2 linked regions of the Sus scrofa genome follow. The protein of the gene in region 1 interacts with the protein of each later gene in a pairwise test. Links are inferred from orthologs where the notes say so. Each region holds a gene or a part of one and is shown on either strand. Other genes may lie near its edges.

Region 1 (3,571 bases):
CCCTGCTCCCACCCCCCACCTCCACCCCGGCCTCGGCCCCGGCCAGGTGCCCCGGAGGCCACCGCTGCCTCCGGACGCCGGACACAGCGGCCACTCCACCCCTCCGCCCCACCGGCCACACACCCAGGTCACCTTCCACTCCTTCTTACCCATGTCCCCAGGTCCTGGTGACCTGCCCTTCACCACCCCTAACTCCTGCATGTCCCCGCAGGGCCCACCTCCTGGCTGCAGCCCGGGCCTCTAGGCAGGGCTGGCACCCAGCGAGGGGGCTGGGAGGACGGCCCGCCACCTCCCCTCCCCAGCCTGGGCGTCCCTCCCGTGTTGACCAGCCAGCCCAAGTGACCCGTCTTCTTCCACCCTGTTGGCAGCTTCGCCTCCAGAGTCCCGCCCTCTGGCCCGTGCCCACAGCTCTGCCGGGCTGTCCTGCCACAGCAGAACCCAAACCCGCCCGCCTGGCACACAGGCCCGCCTCGCCCTCCTCGTCCCACCTGAGCCGCATCACAGCAGAACCAGGGCGGCACGTCAGCCACGTACCACGTCCAGCAGCATCGACAGGTGTCCGAGTTCAAGCTTGCCGCCCCCGTGCGGCTCCGGCACCGAGAAGGAATAGACATCCCCAGACTTGTCCGCCACCAAGACCTTCTCCTCGGAGGCCGTGAAGGTCAGGGCCGTGCACCTCCTCACCACGGTCCTGGAAGGCCAGAGACACCACGGTCGGCAGACGGGGCTCAGGGCCGGGCCGCCCGCTGACCTGCAAGCCACCTGTCGGCTGCCCGCCCTGTGGCGGTCACCGAAGATGGTGCCCCCCAAAAGGCAATTGTGAGCATGGAAACAGCCAATGCCCGGACAGAGGTTACGTTATAATTTTCTCCTTCTAAAAACGTGCTCATGGCAGGATCTGGGTGGTGGGGAGCTAAGCCTCCAACACAGAAGCCTCTGGACTGCGCTGTGCTTGCAGCCTGCCGTAGCAGGATGCCTGGGCGCTTCTGAAAGGAGACCACGGCCAGCTCCCTAAACACCAAACTGTGGCCTCTGGGGCAACTGGCCGGGCACCTCCCGGACGCAATCAAAACCGCGCCGGACCCTCCTGGGTGGTGCGCTTCCCACCCAGGCCCACACTCCGACCCCAAGGCCTGCGCCCACCCACTGCTGGCCTGGCCACCTGGAGCAGGAGCCCACCCATGCCACTCATGCGAGACACATGAAAACGAGAGCCCATGATGCCCGGTGCCAGGCGGACATGCCACGGGCAGCGAGACGGCACCACACCCTCCGCTGGGCAGCCCCAAGGGCACGGCACCAACTCAGATCCCTGATCTAGAGCCACAGCATCTGTCACAGCTGAGAGCTGGTTCAATGATGAGCTGGTCAGGGACAAAATGACACACAGGGACACGGGCCCCACAGCCCGCCTGCGCACCCCAGGGTCCGGGGCTAGGCTAGTTCCTCCTGACTCCGTCTCTCACTATTCCTACCAGCCTCTCCACGAGCAGGTGTCTGTAGGTCTATTTTACGTTGGACACTAGCCCTGACGCTGCTTTACAGACGAGGCCTTACGTTCATCCGCACATGGCCTCGTCACAAAGCCAGTCCCAGCTTGCTCATCACCCGAGGGCTGGACGGGGACCCACTGTCCCCGTAGAGAGCTAACACCCTGCAGAAGGTGCCCGGCTCATGGCAGCCGGACTCCAGATGTTGGCCTGATGAAGCTTCAAGGAATCGCCTCCCCAGCACAAGGGCCAAGGGACCCTGCCCTCCCCGCAGGAGGGACAGGAGCACAGAGAAGCAAGCAAGTGGGGCCACACCGGGCTGCAGGCGCTGGGCTCCCAGGCGCAGCCGGAGTGCTTCCAGGGCAGGGGCAGCCTCAGCAGGAGGAGAAAGGTGATAAATAGGGGGAAACAAAGACACGCTCCAGGGCGTGATTAATCCGAATTCTCCCAGTGCCGGTAATTTAAACAAAGTCCTGCACCAGCAAAGCAGCTGCCTGTCCTAAAGGGCAAATCAGGCAGCTGCCAGGAGCACAGCCACAGCCTTAGCCTTCCGGGGGCGGGGCCAGGGCCTCTGGAGGCGGGGCCCCAGCCTTGTGGCACAGGTCTCGGGCCTTCCTGAGGGAGTAAGGGGCTTGGATTCCAGGGAACTAGGCCCACCTCCCACTGCATCCCCTCCCACCAGCTGGGCACAGATGTGGCACTCCGGATCCTGCCCCTCAGTGCTCTGCCAGCTGAGGGCTTTCAGCTGCTCAGGCTGAATCCATCCTGGCAACAACTGAAGCACATGGCTCTGCTGCAGGGAGCAGGTCTCGGTCGGAGGGCACCGGGTGGCAGGTGGGGGGCAGGTCATCAGCGGTAGGCGGGCCATATGGTGACCGCGAAAGGAGGCCAGGCACCCGCCTTCAGCCTCCGCAGGGCCTGGGGTCTCAGCACCTTCCCTGCCTCCACGGCATCCTGATCCCTGGCCCAGGTCCCCCCGGGGCCCCCAGGGTGGTGTGGCCCGTCCCCTCTGCCAGAGACAGAGGAAGTGCCCGCTGGGGCAAGCTCGGAGCTGGAAGCGAGGCCGGGCGAGTATGAACGCACTAGACATCAGCGGCACCAAGGGTCAGGGCCTATTGACCCGAAGGGGGGCCTGTGTCCCCAGAGCAGACGGCTGCCAGGTCCGACGAGTGCTGTGCCGGCCAGAGTGACGTCTGCCAGCCCAGCGGGGTGAGGCAAGGGAAGCACAAGCCGCACCCACCTCCCTCTGTGCTCCCCCAGAAGCTCAATCAGAGAAGGTAAGCGAGCTCAGGGAACCTACAGGACAAGGCTGGGGGTTGGGGGGGAAGCGGCCACCTGAGGCTGGCCCTGGCCCCGCCATCACCATCACCTTCGGGAGGCTGCCCTGCACCAGGGCAGGCAGGGCCCTGGCACCTCAAGGTCAGCAGTCACTTCTCCCACTCCCGTACCACCTAAGGCAGGCATCTACACAACGTTATTGCGTTGATGCCAACTTAAAAACCCGGCGTATACAGCAGAAATGACCACATCAAACACATGCCTGTTTCAACTGACCTCGAAGCCTCACTACCTTTATGCTCTATCCGTGACAACCTGGAGAAGCAACTACTCGTTCCTGCAACATAGTTGGAGACCAAATAAGAAAGACTTAAGAGGACTCTATTACATCACAAGACACAGAACATGTATAAACGAAAACTTAGGAGTTCCCGTCGTGGCGCCGCGGAAACAAACCCAATTAGGAACCATGAGGTTTCGGGTTCGATCCCTGGCCTTGCTCAGTGGGTTAAGGATCTGGTGTTGCTGTGAGCTGTGGTGTAGGTCGCAGATGCAGCTTGCATCCCTTGTTGCTGTGGCTCTGGCGGAGGCCGGAGGCTACAGCTCTGATTCTACCCCAGCCTGGGAACCTCCATATGCTGCAAGTGTAGCTCTAAAAAGCAAAAAAAAAAAAAAAAAAGGTCGATGGTTCATTTTTGTTCCCACTCTGTACTTCCCTGAGGCTTCTAAATTTTACGTGAACCAAAAACTTAAAGGGAGAGAATTTTCATTCTCGTTTTTTCAAATGACCGTCCCGGGACACC
Region 2 (3,571 bases), on another chromosome or scaffold:
AATGTTTTGTAATTTGAAAAAAACTTAAGCTATTCTAGAATCCACCCTCCAGGACCAGCTCACAAATCTGATTTAGCTGGGGCACCAACCGAGCAATCGCTGCCAGGTGCTGCAGCTGTCTATCGAGCTAAGGCGTTTTCCAAAAGCTCGGCCACTCTGGGAGTGAGAGGAACCAATGATAACTGCGCTCTTCCACGTGGAAATAAGCTAGAAGCGGAAAGCCGGAGGCAACTGTTCTCCCACCGCCACCCCCACTACCAAGACGCCACCTGGGGCTCCGCCGAGACAGGCCAGCAAAGGAGCCACTCGCTGACAAAAGAGCCCCTTCCAGCCCAGTGACAGCCACGTGGGAGCACCAGCCACCTGCAGTTCCCGTCGTGACTCAGCAGAAACGAATCCAACTAGGAACCCTGAGGATGAGAGTTCAATCCTGGCCCTGCCCAGTGGGTTAAGGATCCGGCGTTGCCGTGAGCTGTGGTGTAGGTTGTGGGCTCGGCTAGGATCCAGCGTGGCTGTGGCTGTGGTGCAGGCCGGCAGCTGCAGCTCCAACTCGACCCCTAGCCTGGGAACCTCCACATGCCACAGGTGTGACCCTAAAAAAAAAAAAAAAAACCTGGCACCAAGTTCACCCATGGGTAGGATTAGATGCCAGGAGGCACTGGCACCTCGTCAAGTCATAAATGGGCAGGGTTGAACCCAGAGGACACACATTTCAAGTAATAAAAATAGAAAAATGCACATAAATAGTTAGAACCTACAATTAAAACCTCTGAAGGGGATGGGTTAAAAATTACTACATCTGAGGCCAACTGGTCCGATACAGACTCTGGTTCAAGGACAGGAAGCTATTCTCAGGCAGCGGGAGGGGCCCGTGTTTGACGAAGCTGTGCTCCCCAGGGGATGGGCTGCATCTGCCATCCCTTCATGAAGGCGCTGCTATGTGTCATCTCAGCACAACTTAAGCTATGTGTTCCGGGGGGGATGCCTGTGACAGTTAAGGAAGGAGCGGCAGGGAGACAGCGGGACCCTGTGCAGGCAGAGGACAGGCTGCGAAAATCCAGAGCTGCTTTACCCAAGGACGTGGTGCTGTCCACTCGCTCAGCATCTGGAGAAGAAAGGAAAGGCATCAGCACAGCCGAGACCTCACAGCGCTGCCTCCGCAGGCAGCCCAGCTCCCGCCACAGCCTCCATCTCCTCGCCAACGGCTCGGGGGAGGGGGTGTCACCATCCCTGCCACCCTCTCCAAACAAAAGCGCCTCAAGAGCGTAAGCCCACGGCCACAGAGTGCAAGTCCCCTGGCAGCCTGTCCATCCACTCAGCTGCCAGGGTCCAGCAAAGGGGGCGTCCGTGGGGACAGGAAGCCCTGCCATGAGCGGCGCTCCGAGGCCAGGTTAAGCCCGCAGTGGGGGGGGAGGCTGCCCCCTCCACACTGAGTGGCACATTTGACTCTGCTCTCGGTCCAGGACCCCAACCTCACCTCCACAGTATCTGGGCACCAACTGGGAGAGCAAGGCACCTCTCTGAGCTTGTCTCAGCAGCTTGAAAATCACCTACTTAGTAGCAGTGGATACTGTGACTCAAAATGCTATACGGAGTTCCCACTGGGGCTCAGCAGCTTCCTGACTAGGATTCCTGAGGATCCCTGGCCTCTCTCAGGGAGTTAAGGATCTGGTGTTGCCATGGCTGTGGTGTAGATGCAGCTGGGATCCCGCGTGGCTGTGTCTGTGGCGTAGGCCGGCAGCCACGTCTCCAATTCAGCCTCTAGCCTGGGAACCTGCATATGCCACAGATGAGGCCCTCAAAACCGAAACAGGTAAATAAAGTTGTATATAAAAATACATAGAAATGAAAGACACTCAAGAATGTAAATTCATAGCAGTGTGTTACACACAACGTTCCCCTCTCTTTTTCTTTGTAAAACTACCACCCTAGTTACACTCTTATCAATGGAAATGCAACTAAAATGGTCCACCTTGCTCATGACTAGTGATTTTAGGAAGGACTAGTGGCAAGAACCAAGCTGCTGGATCACACGTGCAGTCAGCCACCCCTGACCGTCGCGTCCTCGGGTCTTCAAAGCCATTGCCAGCACCCCCAGCCATCTGTGCGGCTGACCCACCCACCGCCAGGGTGACTGTCTGGTCTCCTGTCACGGTGACAGGAGAGCCAAAGCGGACCTTTCCCGGCTGCCGTTCTTCGTGCTCCCTGACACTGAAGGCAAAGCCATGACCTGCCCGGTGGGAGGTGGCCCCTTGTCGTGGTCATTCCTGGCAGGTGGTCACCCCCCCCCGCCCCCCCCGCCGGAGAAGTGAGGGCCGGGGCAGGGTTAAGGGTGCTGCACTTGGCACCACAGGGAGAAGACGCTAGGGGAAAAAGGCAGCTCTTCCTACAGTCATCCTGCGCCTCTGCAGTTGTAACTTTAAAAGGCACGGACAGGGTAAAGCAGTGAGAAACCTGCGGTTCAGGTTTTCGGCGTCACGGCTGAAGGAGCCGGCTGGGAGCTGGCTGTCTCGGTTAAGGGAGTTGGAAGCACGGCCTCTCCCCTGAGACGGGCAGACGTGGACAAGCACGGCTGTACGTGTCAAGTTCCAATTACCCCAACCTTCTCTCTGTAAAGTGCACAGAGACGCTAAAAAATAACTGGAAGACCAGTGGATCCAAGAGTATGAAAAACTCCCTCTTGGTTTTATTTTACGGCATGTCAATCATACCTACCAAAAGGGGAGAAACGGGAAGAATCCTCGCGGTTTTGTATACGGAAGCAAGGCAAATTCCCGTACCTGGGCTTGGCTGCTGGCAGATCTGCGAGGCGAGGTCCTGCACGTACGCCGGGAAATAGTCGAAGCAGTCCCCGTAGGACACCACTTTGATCCCGTGCAGCAGCATGTCTGCCTGGTGCTTAAAGAAGTGGTCCTCGCTCTCCTTGAGCACGACCATGTAGTGCTCCAGATCCACCCTGTTGGGCACCGAGTAGAGGAAGAGGGCTTGGAAGATCTGATCCCGCAGCGTCTCTCCGCAGCCCACAAACAGGAACGACTTGGTGCGGTACAGGTTCTGGAGAACTTCCTGGGAGGGAACCGAGACGCTGAGCTGCTCATCTGAAAGGGGGTCCGGTCCCATGACTGACCCCAAAGTTACATCTTTGTGCTTTCATTTTTTTCTTTCTGGCCGCTTGTGGAAGTTCCCAGGCCGGGGACCCAACCTGCACCACCGCAGGGACAACGCCGGATCCTTCACCCACTGAGCCACCAGGGATGAGCCACCTACATGATGGCCCTTTTAAATCCCTGCTCCCTGACGGGGCTCCCCCAGGAGCCACACGAGGAACAAAGAAGAAGAAAGGGAGTGGGAGTTCCCGCCGTGGCTCAGCGGTGACGAACCCGACCAGTATCCATGAGGATGCAGGTTCGATCCCTGGCCTCGCTCAGTGGGTGAAGGGTCCGGCCTTGCCGTGAGCTGTGGTGTACGTCGCAGACATGGCTCAGAGCTGGTGTTGCTGTGGCTGTGGTGTAGACCGGCAGCTGTAGCTCTGATTCAGCCCCCTAGCCTGGGAACCTCCATTATGTGGCGG

What was found. The genes of interacting proteins can lie anywhere in the genome.
Region 2: the proteins of WDR4 (region 1) and FAM118A interact in binary tests that used the Homo sapiens proteins (3 or more experiments, as listed by UniProt). The two-hybrid records come from large-scale screens. The link is inferred for Sus scrofa from reciprocal best matches to the Homo sapiens genes WDR4 and FAM118A.

The regions. Positions count from the first base shown.
Region 1 is NC_010455.5:206,084,680-206,088,250, forward strand, and holds part of WDR4 (tRNA (guanine-N(7)-)-methyltransferase non-catalytic subunit WDR4), read right to left. Parts: intron 692-3,571; coding exon 535-691; intron 1-534. UniProt on the Homo sapiens protein: Non-catalytic component of the METTL1-WDR4 methyltransferase complex required for the formation of N(7)-methylguanine in a subset of RNA species, such as tRNAs, mRNAs and microRNAs (miRNAs).
Region 2 is NC_010447.5:4,082,027-4,085,597, forward strand, and holds part of FAM118A (protein FAM118A), read right to left. Parts: intron 3,067-3,571; coding exon 2,781-3,066; intron 1,106-2,780; coding exon 1,073-1,105; intron 1-1,072.